2 linked regions of the Pelodiscus sinensis genome follow. The protein of the gene in region 2 interacts with the protein of the main gene of each other region in a pairwise test. Links are inferred from orthologs where the notes say so. Each region holds a gene or a part of one and is shown on either strand. Other genes may lie near its edges.

Region 1 (8,554 bases), on a different chromosome or scaffold from region 2:
TTCAGGACAACTGAACTCCAGTGAAAAGGAAGGATCGGTTATGGCTCCACTTGTCACAGTGAAGAAGTAAATCTAGCAGCAGCATACTGCAGCCCATAACACTTGAAGAATAAAGATGTAGAGTGAAATACTAGAAGTGAATATGAGATGCTAAAGATTGAAACAGTGGCAGGGCAGAACCAAGAGAAGGACAAAATTGGCCTGTGTTTTGTAAGAGATTATAGGGTACGTCTAGACTACATGCCTCTGGCGACAGAGGCATGTAGATTAGGCTACCCGACAGAGTAAAATGAAGCGGTGATTTAAATAATCGCCGCTTCATTTAAATTTACATGGCTGCCGTGGTGAGCCGACAAACAGCTGATCAGCTGTTTGTCGGCTCAGCGTGATAGTCTGGACGCTCCCCTGCCGACATCAAAGGGAGTTGTCGACAACCCAGGTATGCCTCATCCCAGGAGGCATACCTGGGTTGTCGACAACTCCCTTTGATGTCGGCAGGACAGGTCCATGTATATAAGAGGTGGCAGAAGAAAGCACAAGTCCAAGGCAAGAAGAAAGCTCTAGAATTTTGCTTTGGCAGCAAGGCTAATTGGAACGATAATATTGGAAATATGGTTATAGAAAACTGAAGGCCAAAATTAGAGGTGATTGTTGGGCCTAATTGAGCTGGGCAAAGTCACGCAGAAAATCAATGGAAGAGGCAGTCCTCTGAAATAGATTAAAGAACAGGAACCCACATTAGTGGATCAAAAAGAAAGACAATGGGTTGCACAGAAAATAATGAATGGTTTCTGTAAAAAAATTATTCTGGTTCGATATATCAACGCCAAATTAAGAGAAAATTGAGTGTGAAACTCATCCATTTGCATATCTAGGAGGTCTTCAGTTTTGATTCATCCACTCTATCCCTGAACTTACCTTTGAATTTTGGATTTGCAAAAACTTGAAGCTCAGACAAAACTTCTGAGTTTCACCCAGTTTCATGTAAAATTGCAAACAGTGGAAATTGAGTGGGTCTCTTAGGGTGCGTCTACACTGCACTGTTATTTCGAAATAACTAGCGTTAATTTGAAATCATAATGCGAGCATCTACACAGCCATTCTGTTATTTTGAAATAATTTCGTAATGACAGATGGCTTATTCCAAAATCTGTAAACCTCATTCTACAGGGAATAACACCTATTCCACAACAGCTTATTTTGACATAAGCGTGCAGTGTAGATGTACCCTGAGACAAACAAAATGTGAAATCAGCTAAATTTTGTCTGGCTTCAGGTGTCATGATTAATATTTTGCAGAGCTATAGTAGTTAAACAGTCTGTATAAATTAATATCACGTTATCTGACCTTGGGTCTGATTCTGTTCTCATTGAAACTACCGTGTGTTTTGTCCCTTGTTTCAATGGGAACAAGGTCAGGCTACAGAATATAACCAACCTGCCTATTGTGCTATCCCTGATCGATATTGCCTGTTTCTAATGATATGGATTTCCAGATTTGGAAGGTTTCAGGTCAAACATTCAAAATTGTGTCATATCTTAAGTAAGAAACAAATCATCTACTACCTGGTTGAAGCTGTATCAATAATGAAACTTTGCAAAAATATCATGGAAACATATCCGCCCAGGCAAAAAAAGTCCTTACCCATTCGTACCCTGATGAAGCTAGTGAAAAAATAAGTGCTTCTTTTCTCAGTAATGAAAAAAATTACCCACAGTGTTTGTGTAAGAATAGTTTTGCAAGGGAAATGTACACATTACAAAGAAACAAAAAAACCAAACCAAAACAAAAAAAGGCAAAATCCCTACCGTGTTCACTTGCACTGGGATCTACTTTTGCTTGTTGTATGCTGAGAAATCTTTTGTAGAAAAAATTAACTTCAGGTACTGGCAATTTGTCTTCTGTAACAGAGGTGATTTCAAGATTTGCAGTATTGGGATTTGTCTCCAGTACCTGGCTCCACAAAGAACAGAAGTCAGTTTTAAAACCAACTATTCTTTTGGACCATACCACTCCAATGCCTTTCTACTGGTGATGATTTTATTCTATTTTGTTTTTTGTTGAGGGGCTCTGCTTTTAGCACATTTTTGGAATGAACAGCTGATACAAAGCAAATCCATGGACAGCTTTCAGGCTTTTTCTCTGTTTGCTTAAAAATGGCTTCATCCTGAAAAATGCTGAGCAGCTTCAGTGCATTACTGAGAAGCTCATGCAATTCCCATTGACTTCAGTGAGAGTCAGGGCACTCAGCAAATTGCACAAATTGATCCCTAATTAGCAAACATTAACCAGGAATTTACTGAAACTAAAATGTTGCTCAGGTCTGCCTATAACCACAGTTATTTAGAGTAATTCATTCACCACATCAAGAAATTCTGACAAGTTCCTTCTTTAAACGTCAAAGCATTTTCTTTTCTACAGGATGCTTTTTAATTGCTACTGTTAAGTAAAAGGAAGTACAAGTTATGAACTGTGCAAAGCCTGTTCTGATCTGACTTCCCAGTTAGCTTATGCTGAAGAATTTTTGCATCTTGTATGCCTATCACAAACTGAAAATAAAATGCTAAAATATAGTTCTGGGTAAATAAGCCTTACATTTTAAAATGTAGGGACATGAAGGGATAGGATAGAGAAAACTTTGGCATCTGCTCTAACAATCAAATGATACAGTGGGTCTGATTCTGCACTCACACTGATGTAATCAGGAGTAATTGTATTAAAGTCTGAGGAGCTAGTATGCTATTAATCTAAAATATCAGGCCCAGGAAATGTTTACCTTAGACAAAGCATAGTTCTTGTTTGACAGCATTTTTAAGAAACAGAATATCTTTTCACCATCCAGCAAGCATTACTTACCCAAATAAAACCTTTCTCTCATTCTATCAGATATAGCATACATTCCTGGTGAGTAAACATTTCAAGAGATATTATATAACTGCTGTTTTAGTGCAGAAATAAGGAAAAAGCATCTTACTGCAAATGGTTTCTGAACATAAAGAATACCTTCATTGTTCCATGTTCTGGAAATAAACAGTATTAAGAAGCATGACATACAGTTACAGAATAATAGAGATTGTTATTTCCTCTGTCCTAGGTTGTTACTCACCTCTTCTTGAGAAGCCATGGTTAAAAACAAAAATATGTTCTCTTTTCATTATAGTAATAAGCCAGATGGAAATCTAGCTGTTGTTCAACCAGTCCACTCAGGAAATATTTTCATCAAACCACCCAGAACTGCCAGCTCAACCACTGTAGCAAACGACATTATTACTGTAGTCTGTGTAATTCAACCTGATCGTTGATATCAGGTAGCCTACATGACTATGCATAGCAGGAAGGCAAAGAATCAGCAACCTTTTTAATCAGTGTAATCAGGTAAGGTAATATTGTGGTTCTTTTCGTGAACCTGTCTGAGAGGGAAACTCTCCAAACATGGAGTCATAGGTGTGCTTACCTGTTCCATTTTTCCTAAATAAAGTGGCTGGAGAAAAGCATGCGCCAGAATTCTGGGCTCTGGCGAATGAGCCCCTCAAAGCTAGTTAGTCTGGCAAACCAGGCCCTTCACCTAGTTGCATAGCTCTGTGTGAATTTTGTGTGGTTTTTGCCAAATGCATCCGCCAGGCACAATGTTGAGTTTGGGTTCAGTTAGAGGCAGAAGTGAAATCAGAATTGGCTTATCTATGCCTGGAAATGACTGATATTTCCATTTCCCCCATTTTTTTCCTGGGGTACTGAGAGAAATTGTTCATTTGCTCCGCAGCTGCCCTGAGCTCAGCCTTGGAAAACCTAGGTTTGATTCCCCACTATGCCTGAGGGAAGGCTGTTAGGGAGCAAGTCACAATTCCCTGATTCTCAGCCCCGAGGACCTGACTTAAGTTCAAGTTTCCACTCCAGGGTGAGATGTGGAGGCATCTTTAAGGGTGTGTCTAGACTACATGCCTCCATCGACGGAGGCATGTAGATTAGACAGATCGGCAGAGGGAAATGAAGCCGCGATTTAAATAATCGCGGCTTCATTTAAATTTAAATGGCCGCCCCGCTCTGCCGATCAGCTGTTTGTCGGCAGATCGGGGCAGTCTGGATGCGCGGTCAACAAAGAAGCCTCATGAAAGAAGGCTTTTTTGTCGACCGCGGCGCATCCAGACTGCCCCGATCTGCCGACAAACAGCTGATCGGCAGAGCGGGGCGGCCATTTAAATTTAAATGAAGCCGCAATTATTTAAATAGCCAGGAGCAGATCTGGCTCCTGAGAGGAGGGAGGACATAGAACTCCATGTGCTGTCCCTACCCTGACCAATTCCTGGCCAATGGGAACTGGTTGGGGGTGCCTGTACCTATGGACAAAGAGCAGTGTGCAGAGCTGCTTTTATGCCTCTGCCTAGGAGCCAGACCAGCTTCTGGCCACTTCTGGGGCACAGCATGGTCCACAGTGCCCGAAGAGGCAGGAAGCTTGCACTAGCAGCCCCACTGTGCTGCTGACCACGAGCCACTGGAAGTAAGCCCATGTCCAACCATGAGCATCAACCCCTTGCCCCCACCCTGAGCCCCACCCCAACCTGGAGCCCCCTCCTATAACCCAGGCTCCTCATTCCTGGCCCCTTCCCAGAGCCCGCACTCTAGTCAAAAGAGATAATTATGTTGGGTCCCAAGCATCAGCAATTTTCTTCAACTGGGTCACAAGAAAAAAAGTTTGAAAACCACTGATCTATGTGCTTCAAACCTGGCTTGGGGGGGGGGGGGGTACCTTAAAGGAGAAATTATATTTCCTCCTCCATGCTCATTTCATTCTTGGCTTCTATGATGGGGAAGCCGAGAAGGGACCTAGCTGTGGTGCTAGCTTTGTGAGGCAGAAATCTGTCTGCTAAGAACCTGGCTCAGACCACCAATTGATTTCACGTACACCACAGAACAACCTATGCCTGACACCAGTTCACACTCACTGACTCGTTACTGCTTTGGGGTGCATTTAAAATGGTGATCTGAAAGGAAGAGATTCAGTGCCCTGATAGTAGCAATGTGCACTGACTGTGCACTCTGTTGTGCTGTGGACATGTACTGGGTTAGTCCGATTTTACTACAACCTATGGCAGGCATAGGAAGACTGCATATTTTTCTTGCTTTTCAACCACCCTAAAATAAAAATGCAAAGACTAACATGCTGTGCAAACAGGATATCAGCGTTTCTCAAAAAGATCACAAGGGGTTTGAGGTTTTTTATCTTAGCTGCCTCTCTCTCTCTCTCTGTCTCTCTCTCTCTTTCTCTCTCTCTCTCTACTAATTTCTGCCTGTACTGAACTTACATTCACAGGAGTGGAAGAGATGGCAGTGGCTGAAACACAACTATATTCGAAGGTCTTGAACAAAGTCAAAAAGAGAAGCAGCTGTGCTGTACTAGAATCCCTCTTATCTATGGGATTCCCTGCACATACAGCGTGAGTAGCATTAAGTTACCTGAAGATATTAAAATAATTTTCTCATAAAAATTTGAGCACAGCTTGCATTTTTAACAGAGAAAACAGGCATCTGCTTGACAGGGATGTTTCTGTATATAGATAAGATCTCCTAGTCTATGCCTCTTTTATAGCATTTTTGGGGTGTTGATCTAAACCTAAAAAGAACCTATTGTGCATCCATTTTTATATCTAAGATCTAATAACTATCCACTTTTCAGGTTGAGAGATTGTAAAACGTGTTAAACACTTGACATGAACAGTAATCTCCCACAGTATTACCTACAACAGGTCATATTTTTCATTAATCACTTTTGCTGTAATGCAGGTAAGTTTAAAGATACCTTATAGCTTATACTGGATTCTACGACATAGCAAAGACATCTTACCGTATGTAGGATTTTGGAGACAGGGTTTACTTTTCACAAGGCATAGTTTTTCTGTTTATAAATAGCATCTAAACCTATTCAACGTGATTGTCATTTTTACTTTTTTTAAACCCATAAAGTATTTATCTTAGTTTAAGATCATGTTAAAAATTAAATGCCAATGAGGGGCCATCTTTTCAGAATTGAGCGCTGTGTTGTAAAGTCTTCAAATCGTCTTTAAAACATGTTGCTGCTACTGGTGGATGTATGCCTGTTTTTTTTAAAGTAAAGGTAACAGAGCACGGAGCAGGTCTGGATAAAATTTAAAAAGTCACCGGGATTTTTGCTTAAAATTTGAACTGAACAACTTTCTGAGTTTAGACATTTTAGCGCAAGTTTGCAGTTCCTGATTTCAGCCATGACTAACTTTCCTGGCCTGGCCAAAACCAGCTTGTGAGGGAAATAATCGTAGGATAGCCCGATCTTGCATGGTTTAGAGCTGTAGAGCCAGAGTCTCTTTTTAAACACTAAGCCCCAGTTGCATCGGAGCAGTTTAAAGGTACCTTAGTGTAAATGGGAATCACATAGAATCTCATCAACACACTAACCCCCAACTCTTGGCTTGCACAGTACTAATTGTTATTAGCTTTTCCAGACAGTGATCTGGTAGTTTGTTTTACTTATAAAACAGTATTTTCAATATATATATATATATATATATATATATATATGAACTCTTCTGCTTTCTGTTTGAGAGATCTTTGTAGACCTAGGATCCATTTTTGCATTACATTGCCTTATTGTCTGTTATTTGTTTGGAAGAAGTGCATAAGAACCCCAGTCGTAGGCTAGGATACCGCTATGCAAGCCACGATACAAACACAAATGAAAACGTAGTCACTGCCTTGAAAAGCTTACAGTCCAAAAACGAGTTGAGGCAACAGGTAGATACAGACTGACACAAGGAAATAATGGAGCAATGATGACTGGTATGATAGGCAGAGGTCTCTGCTCCCCAGCTGCCTAGCTATTGCCAAGTTTATTTATAGGCCTAATGGCAAAGGGTAGTTTTAAGGAAGTAAATAAAGGAGGATCAATGACTTGGCTTTGTTGTTGTTGGCCAGGAGCTCTTGCCAAGATTCAGGGGTTTCATGGGAGAAAGCACAAAAACTCTTTTGAAAATGTAATCTGTGGGTGGATGGAGGTTGGCATTGGCAAAGAGAAGGCAGGAAGTGACCTATTACTAGTGTATGGGAGATAATAGTTAGAGAAGGGATGGATTGTGAAGGGCCTTGGAAGTGAAAACAAGCTGCTTGTGTGTGATGCTGTGGAGAAAGGGAAGCCAGTGGAAGAAGGCAGAGAGAGAACTGACATGTGCAAAGTAACCAGCTAGGGAAATAGTCTTAACCAGCAGCATCCTGCATTGATACGAAAGGGGTATGATTGCAACCATCATGCCTAGATGTTGCAGTAATCAAGGTACACTATGATGAGCGCTTGAGTGAGAATTTTAGCCATGAGGAGGGACAAGAAAGGCCATACAATAGAGAGGTTTTGCAGAAAGAATCTGCAAAATTTGCACATAGGATATAAGGAGAGGTCTGAGTCAAACCTAACCCCCAGTTTATAGGTCTGAGTGACAGGAAGAATTGTGGTGGTGTCCTCAGTGCTCAAGAACGTAAGCAGTGGGGAGGGCAAGAGGGAAAGATTAAGGGTTGTATTTTGGCCATGTTGAGCCTTCAGTAATAAAAAGACATGGCCTGTCCTAAGTAAGAAAAGCGTGTCATTATGTATTTACAAGTCCACATACACTTTGCTCCCTGGCGAGAGGAAGCCAGAAAGAAGCACATGAGACAAATACATGTTGCTTAATGCACTGCCAGAAGGTGCACAGATACTGCAAAGATGGATGCCGTATAAGAACTTGAACAGAAGGGAATTAAATGTACAAATTTAAGTTCAAGGCCCCAGCAGGCAGAACATATTGTTCAATGTGCATCAAAAATTGTCTCTTGGGTATTGCAAAAGAAACAGAAGAGTAATAGTGAGTTTTAGAAATGTGTCCAAGTTGAAATGTCCAGCTTCCTCTTCCTCTACTGGACTTCTCCCCATCTCCACCACTCCAAGAAACTCCACTCTCGGTCTCAAAGATGTGTATGTATAGGTACATACTGCTCTCAAAACTGAATTTGGCATAATTTGGTTCCATAGAACAGTAATTACGTATTAGACATGACCTGAACCAAATTCCCTGAATTTGTAGCTCAAATTTGTCTCGCCCATAGGCAGAATCCAAACAATAAATCCTTTGGGAAAATGTGGATCCAGATTCTAAATATAAGAGTGTTTGGATCTCAGGTTCTGATTTGCTTCGATAGTGCTTACACTTGGGATTTTGTTTGGCCGCATCTTTAATAATAATGTGGGCCTATATGACGCATGCTTCTGCAGTGTATTAAAGAAAAGTCTCCAGACCTCAAGGGAGAATTTATCATTTATCTTGCTGCGTCTATTCTTTCTCATTGTGATTCCACTTTATTTTTCTTAGGAATAAAGCTTTGGCTGCTACAGGACACAAGACAGTAGAAGAGGCTTCCAAGTGGTAAGAATGATGTGATTTACAGTTCCCCGTGGAGTACTATCAAATGAAACCAAATTAAATGTATTTGCTTATGGGCTGTTTCCCCTCCCCCCCAGGATTTGAATTTAGTAGAATTTATGGTAAAAATGAAATA
Region 2 (7,670 bases):
AGAGGGGTGCTGGCTCTCTGGCTGGGTGGGGGAAGGGGGCCGTGTAGCCCTGGGCTCCTGCCCTGGTTTCTGCCTGCCGCCTGCATGGAGGAGGCTGGAGGAGTCTGGAAAGGGGGTGGGGGCAGGAGGGCCCGCAGGGACCCTATTCGGAGGCAGCCGTGTGCTGGGTTCCCACAGCCCTGGGCCCGTCTGGGCTGGCTCTGGCTGGTCCCTGGCTGAGCGCTGGCGGGACGCACCCTGGACAGAAGCGGGAGCCGAGTCTGGCCGTGGCCCGGGCCCAGCAAAGAGCCTTTGTGGAGCTGTCGGCTCCTGGCCGGGAAGCGGATGGATGAGCTGTCCCAGGAAGGGCATAGCTGAGCCTGCCTCTGGCTCTCCATAGTGAGGCCCCAGGGCGCAGGGCCCCAGGCAGCGGGGGGGGGGGGGGCAGAGCAGGGGCTCTGCTATTTCCAGCTGGGGTGGGGGGAGGAGGCTGAAGAGGAACTGGAGCTGGGCCGGGGGCCGAGGGGCCGAGGGGCGATGAGGCGCCGGGACCTGGACCAGGCGATGGGGGGGGGGACCAGAGCTCTCGGCTCACTCGGGGAGGGAGAGGGGCTCGTGGCATTGGGGGCCGACAGGGCGACTCGAGGGTTCTCCCATGTGGGGCAGAGGGGGGTGGCCCGGGGACTAGTGAGGGGCCTGGCATTCTCAGCAGGGGTCTGCCCCCCCACTCTCTGGCCGGCAGGGGGCAGAGCCAGGTGGCCGCAGGAGGGGCCAGAGGGGCTCAGTGGCTGTGGCTGGTGAGGGTGGGGGCAGATCCCAGCCCTGGGCCCTGGACCCACTCAGGCTGCATCACTCAGGAAGGGGTGGGAGCAGAGGTAGGGAGTGGGCGAGCAGGGATGAGACAAGGCAGAGAGCAGAGGTGGGAGGAGGCGGGAAGAAGGGGGAGCAGGGGGGGAGCAGGAGTGGAGGGAGGCGGGAGCAGGGGCGGGAAGAGGGGGAAGCAGGGGTGGGAAGAGGGGGGAGCAGAGGTGGGAGGAGGCGGGAAGAGGGGGGAGCAGGGGTGGGAGGAGGCGGGAAGAGGGGGGAGCAGGGGGGAGCAGGAGTGGGGGGAGGCGGGAGCAGGGGCGGGAAGAGGCAGGAGTAGGGGCGGGAAGAGGGGGGAGCAGGGGGGAGCAGGAGTGGGGGGAGGCGGGAGCAGGGGCGGGAAGAGGCAGGAGTAGGGGCGGGAAGAGGGGGGAGCAGGGGGGAGCAGGAGTGGGGGGAGGCGGGAGTAGGGGCGGGAAGAGGGGGAAGCACGGGTGGGAGGAGGCGGGAAGAGGGGGGAGCAGGGGAGGAGCAGGAGTGGGGGGAGGCGGGAGTAGGGGCGGGAAGAGGGGGAAGCAGGGGTGGGAGGAGGTGGGGAGAGGGGGGAGCAGGGGCCAGGCGTGGTGTTGAGGGGGGTGGGGCCAGTGTCCCATCCCCCTCTCACCAGTCGCCCCGGTGGTAGATGTCCAGGCGTGAAACGGGAGGGCGGTTTGTGCCCGTCCGTGGCGCGAAGCCGGTCTCTGGCCCAAGCCGGAGCTGGCCGCGTGCCTGGGGGCCGGGAAGAGGAGGCTGCTGACCAGGCACGTGGCCCCAGCCACGGGGATCAGCGACCGGCGGGAGCCAGGCCGGCCGGGGAGGGCTCTGCGGCTCTGCACGGGGCTCTCGCCCAGGCCTGCCTGGTGGGTCTGTCCCACTGCTCAGGGTCTGGCTGCCATGTTTGGGGCTGGGAAGGAATTGAACCCCGGTCAGATTGGCGGAGGGAGGTGACTCTGCACGCTGGCCCCGCCTCCAGCCCCAGCCCCGCAGCTCCCATTGGCCGGGAGTGCAGCCACTGGGAGCGGCGCTTGCGGGTGTGGGCAGCGTGCAGCGCGACCCCCCCCGGGGACACAGGGACATGCTGGAAGCTTCCGGGCGCGGCGCAGGGCCAGGGCAGGCAGGGACCCTGCGGCTCCAACACCCAGGGGCTGCCTGAGGTAATTGCCGCCCGGCCAGAGCCTGCTCCCTGCACCCCCGGTCCCAGCCTGGTGAAAGTGAGGGAGGGGGTGGGGCCTCTGGAAGGGGGCGGGGCAGGGTCTCTGGGAAGGGGCGGGGCCTCAGGGAAGGGGCGGGGCAGGAGCGTGTGCATTGCCGCCGCTGGGTCCTCGCAGAGCTCACGGGAGGCCAGCTCAGCTCAGCTCCCGGCGCACCATGTCCCTGTCGGCCAGGCACAGGGCGCCGCCGGCTGGCAGTGGGGGAGCCCAGGCCCTGGGCCGCCCGGAGAGCCCCCAACTCCCACCCCCGGGGCCAGGAAGAGCCCACAAGAGACGGGAAGGGGACAAGTGGCCAGAACGTCTCTGGCCCCCTCCCAAATTCGTCCTGACTAAGCCCAGCCCCAGTGTGAGCTGGAAGGGCCTGGTGGCGGGAGCCCCGCCAAGGACCCTCCTTCCGGCGCCTCGGGCACTCGGCGTCCTTGGCTGGTGGCCTGCCGCCTCCCATGCAGCTTTGGTCCTTGTGCTGAGCTGGCACCGAGGGCGCCCAGCGTGCGGCCACCACAATTACCTGCTCTCAGGCCCGGGCACCGCAGGGCCTGCCCCCAGCCCTGCTCCGCCCGCCAGCGCTCCTCCCGGCCTGGGAACAGGGCCCCGGAGCCCTGAGCGCCGCCCGGCTCGCCCTGCTGGGCCCGGCAGCATCCCGGGGAGAACCGGGAGCAGCCGCACGTCTCCGCAGCGTTCCCAGAGCCGCTGGGCTGGCAGCCAAGCCCAGAGCTCCCAGCGACACGGAGCGGGAGTCTCGTAATTAGCTTCTGGCGCGGCTTGGACACTTCAAAGACTCTTTCTAGTCAAGACAAAGCCAAGTTCTGTGCTCCGGTCGCTTTGGCGGGGAGCCGCCGGGACGGCCGCGCAGAGCTGGCACTGGGCAGGGCGGGGGGCAGGCAGGAGCAGGGCCCATCTCACTGGCGCTGGCGTCGCCCCCTGGAAGCAAACACATCCCGAGGACAATCCACACACACTCAGTTTGCACACACGTGCACAGCGTGCACACCCTTTGTACACACTCACACACCCACACACAGCCCTCACATCCCGGACATATGCTCACCCTTCCCATCCCCCTACAAAACCACATCCACCCCTCGCACAGCCACGTGTACCCCCTGCACACACGTCCCTCGCACACTTCTTACCCCGGGGAGCCCTGCTGACGTGCCCTTTGTACATCCGTCCCTTGCACACTCCTTTCCCCGGGGAGCCCTGCTGACGTGCCCTTTGTACACCCGTCCCTCGCACACTCCTTTCCCCGGGGAGCCCTGCTGACGTGCCCTTTGTACACCCGTCCCTTGCACACTCCTTTGCCCGGGGAGCCCTGCTGACGTGCCCTTTGTACATCCGTCCCTTGCACACTCCTTTGCCCGGGGAGCCCTGCTGACGTGCCCTTTGTACACCCGTCCCTTGCACACTCCTTTGCCCGGGGAGCCCTGCTGACGTGCCCTTTGTACACCCGTTCCTTGCACACTCCTTTCCCCACGGAGCCCTGCTGACGTGCCCTTTGTACACCCGTCCCTTGCACACTCCTTTGCCCGGGGAGCCCTGCTGACGTGCCCTTTGTACACCCGTTCCTTGCACACTCCTTTCCCCACGGAGCCCTGCTGACGTGCCCTTTGTACACCCGTCCCTTGCACACTCCTTTGCCCGGGGAGCCCTGCTGACGTGCCCTTTGTACACCCGTCCCTTGCACACTCCTTTGCCCGGGGAGCCCTGCTGACGTGCCCTTTGTACACCCGTTCCTTGCACACTCCTTTCCCCACGGAGCCCTGCTGACGTGCCCTTTGTACACCCGTCCCTTGCACACTCCTTTGCCCGGGGAGCCCTGCTGACATGCCCTTTGTACACCCGTCCCTTGCACACTTCTTTTCCCGGGGAGCCCTGCTGACGTGCCCTTTGTACACCTGTCCCTTGCACACTCCTTTCTCCGCGGAGCCCTGCTGACGTGCCCTTTGCACACACATCCCTTGCACCCTCCTTTGCCCGGGGAGCCCTGCTGACGTGCCCTTTAAACACCCGTCCCATGCACACTCCTTTCACAGGGGAGCCCTACTGACATGCCCTTTGTACACCCGTCCCTTGCACCCTCCTTTGCCCGGGGAGCCCTGCTGACGTGCCCTTGCACACACATCCCTTGTACGTTCCTTTGCCCGGGGAGCGCTGCTGTGTCCCGGGGCCTGGCTGCGGTGCCTGGCACGCCCTGTGCTTACAGGAAAGGCTGCGGTCACTCCTGCCAGTCTCTGGGATGCTGGGAAGGGGCACGGGCAGGCCAGGCTGTCCCCTGCCGCAGCCGCCTGCCAGGAACACGCAGCCACGAAATGAGTTCATGGGAAGCTGGTGCCCGCCCACCAGAGGGGCCGGGGCTCCGGGAGCAGGGGCAGGGGCAGGTCCTTCCGCGTTTGTTCTCCTGGCCCAAAGCAATAGCCGAGGCGTTCTGCCTGCTCTGCCGTCCTTTGTTCCCCTGCCAGGGGCCTGGGCAGTTGGCCTGGTACACGGCGGGCTCTAGGACCTGGCTCACAACGCCACCTCCGCCCGCCCCCGGGCTGGTCCTCTATAAACCCGGCTGCACAGGGAGAGTTCCCAGGCTGGCCCCGGCTCAGGCACAGCCGGGAGGATGAGCCTGAGGATGGAGAGCCAGCGCCTGTCCTCCTACCGGCGCCGCTTCGGCCCGCAGGCTGCTGCCGGCCACCAGCCCCTCCGGGCCTCGCCCCTCATGTGGCTCCTCTCCCCCAGCCCCAGCCCCCGAGTCTCCATGACCAAGAGGAGGAGCTCGAGCCTGAGCATCCAGGCCAGCTCCAGGGTCCCCCCGGGCAAGGCAGACTTCTCCCTGGCCGAGGCGCTCAACTCCGAGTTCAAGGAGACGCGCACCAACGAGAAGGTGGAGATGATGGAGCTGAACGATCGCTTCGCCAGCTACATCGAGAAGGTGCGCTTCCTGGAGCAGCAGAACAAGGTGCTGGCGGCGGAGCTCAACCAGATCCGGGACAAGGAGCCCACCAAGCTGGCCGACATCTACCAGGAGGAGCTGAGGGAGCTGCGCCGGCAGGTGGACCAGCTGTCCAATGCCAAGACCCGGCTGGAGATTGAGCGGGACAACCTGCTGGAGGACACCAACGGCCTCCGGCAGAAGTAAGGAGCCGCCTGGACGGGCCGACGGCTCTGCAGCCGGAGCGGGCGCGGGGAACGGCCCGGTGGTAACCAGGCTTCGCCGCGAGGGCAGCGACTAACGCGGAGTAGCTGCAGTTCTGGGGGGACCCTGGGTGTGGGCATGAAGGCAGGGGGAGCAGGGACTGGATTAGCGGGAAGGCGGGGGTGCAGGGGCCAGGCGTTAAGAGGAAGGGGGGTGCAGGGGCCGGGCGTTAAGAGGAAGGGGGGTGCAGGGGCCCAGTTAGCGGGGAGGCGGGGGTGCAGGGGCCAGGCGTTAAGAGGAAGGGGGGTGCAGGGGCCGGGCGTTAAGAGGAAGGGGGGTGCAGGGGCCGGGCGTTAAGAGGAAGGGGGGTGCAGGGGCCCAGTTAGCGGGGAGGCGGGGGTGCAGGGGCCAGGCGTTAAGAGGAAGGGGGGTGCAGGGGCCGGGCGTTAAGAGGAAGGGGGGTGCAGGGGCCCAGTTAGCGGGGAGGCGGGGGTGCAGGGGCCGGGCGTTAAGAGGAAGGGGGGTGCAGGGGCCGGGCGTTAAGAGGAAGGGGGGTGCAGGGGCCCAGTTAGTGGGGAGGCGGGGGTGCAGGGGCCGGGCGTTAAGAGGAAGGGGGGGTGCAGGGCTGTTTTAGCGGGGAGACAGGGTGCAGGGACCGGTGGTTATTATGCCAGCTGGAGCCCACCTCTGCCATTCACCTGCTGGCCAGTCACGTCCCCGCTCTGCGCCCAGCTGCCCCGGCGGGTGGCTTTGGACGGGCTCTGCGGGTGGGGAGAGCTCAGTGGAGCCAACTCCGCCCCGGTAACCGACCGGCCCACTGGTGAGAGATTACGCTGCCCACACCCGCACGGCCCCGTGTGCCCGCACCAGATGGGCCTGTACACGTTGCCTGGCACACGTCTGTGCCTGCACTAGCAGCTGGATTGCAGGGCGGCAGCTGGCCCAGGCCTCAGGGGGGCACGAGCGTGGCAGCCCCGGGCCTGCGTAGCCTGGCTCACACTCCGACCTCTCGTGCGCCGGTGGTGAGAGACGTGCACCGTTCCTGGCACAACCCACACGGGTCGAGACACCAGAAACGACCTTAACCTGGGAGCCAGATGGCAGAATGTGGGAGGGTGGCCGAAGAGGTGACGGTTCGCCAGCCTCAGACAGAGGTTTGCTTGTGGGGGTTGCTGGCTCTTTCTAGAGGCAGTGTTGTCTAATGGTTAGTGCAATGGAGGGGAGTTTGACTTTCAGGATCCCAGTTGCCGTGCTGGGAGGGGAGAGTGCTCTGACAGCACATGGAAAATCATGACTCCTGAGTTCTGCTTGGAGAGAGGACGGGGTCTAGGTGCAGGCAGCAGGGGCTTGGAGTCGTAACTGCTGGGTCCTCACCACTCACTGTGGGCAAGAGCTGGGCTGGGCAGTAACTCTCGACGGGGCCACGCCAAGATTTTGGTGAGGGATCAAGAGCCGCGCTTGTCTACGGATGGGGTGCGGGATCGGGGTGGAGGCTGGGTGCAGAAGGGAGCTTAGGGTTCAGCCTGGGACAGGGGATTGGGGTGCAGGGTCTGGGAGGAGCTCTGGCCACAGGAGAGGATTCTGGCCTGGGGGAGGGGTGCGAGAGGGGGTTCAGGGTCTGGGAGGGAGTTGGGGTGTGGGAGGGGGTGCGGTGCCAGAGGCAGGCTCTGGTGGGGGGACACTTACTTAAGCAGCCCCTGACCGCTCTGTGCCAAGTGGCTCTCTGTGCGGGGGGGGCTTCACACAGTGCCTCTGCCCCCAGCAAAATCTCTCAGCTCCACTGGCCGATGGAGGGTGAGCGATTTGCTGCGGGCAGGGATCGCACGAAGCCTCCCCCACCACAGCACAGAAGCCACAGGGAGCAGCCAGTCACTTTGAGCAGCGCTGCTACCTGCCCGGGGGGGGGGGGGGGGCGATTACAAGGGCTGTCGGCCTGGATCCAGCCATGGGCTTTATCTTGCCCACCCTCGGGCAAGAGGCTATTTGCTGCGCTGGAGGGGTAATTGCAGAGTCCTAGCGCTGCAGGGAGCTACAGACACGCTCGTTTTCGTTGCACTGGGGAAGGGCTCACGATTGTTGCTGCTGGCGAGACCTCGGTGGGAGGTGCCCCGTGCAGTTCTGTTCGTCAGAGAGCTCTGATTGGTCGAAGCGGAGCTGTCCGGGGAGGGACGGTGGGGACGCATCGCTGGGTTCGGGCGCAGTAGTTTGGGAATGGCCGAAACAGCCCATTGCTGCATTTCCACTTTGGCGGGGAGCGCCTGGTGCTCTCCAGGTTCCACAACAGCTTCTGTAACAGGTTAAGACATAAAAAGGACAGAACTGAAACAAACCGGACCAAGCGCCCTCGGCACGTGTCACGTTACTGGGGCGAGAGACATTTTTGCCCTTTCTTGCCCCGATCCAGGATGAGAAACAAGGTGGGTCTGTTCCGACCTCTCCCAGGCGGGGCACCCAGCACCCCCACCCGGCGCTCACCGTCAGGGGCGCACGAGCCTTGGTGGGACTCTGGCAAACAC

The links. The genes of interacting proteins can lie anywhere in the genome.
Region 1: the proteins of GFAP (region 2) and UBASH3A interact in binary tests that used the Homo sapiens proteins (3 or more experiments, as listed by UniProt). The link is inferred for Pelodiscus sinensis from reciprocal best matches to the Homo sapiens genes GFAP and UBASH3A.

What each region holds. Positions count from the first base shown.
Region 1 is NC_134711.1:190,493,509-190,502,062, forward strand, and holds the start of UBASH3A (ubiquitin-associated and SH3 domain-containing protein A), read left to right. Parts: upstream 1-5,256; 5' UTR 5,257-5,320; coding exon 5,321-5,433; intron 5,434-8,367; coding exon 8,368-8,421; intron 8,422-8,554. Other genes in the region: TMPRSS3 (transmembrane protease serine 3), read right to left, coding at 1,810-1,954, 3,108-3,125. UniProt on the Homo sapiens protein: Interferes with CBL-mediated down-regulation and degradation of receptor-type tyrosine kinases. Promotes accumulation of activated target receptors, such as T-cell receptors, EGFR and PDGFRB, on the cell surface.
Region 2 is NC_134739.1:201,358-209,027, reverse strand, and holds the start of GFAP (glial fibrillary acidic protein), read left to right. Parts: upstream 1-4,586; 5' UTR 4,587-4,638; coding exon 4,639-5,153; intron 5,154-7,670.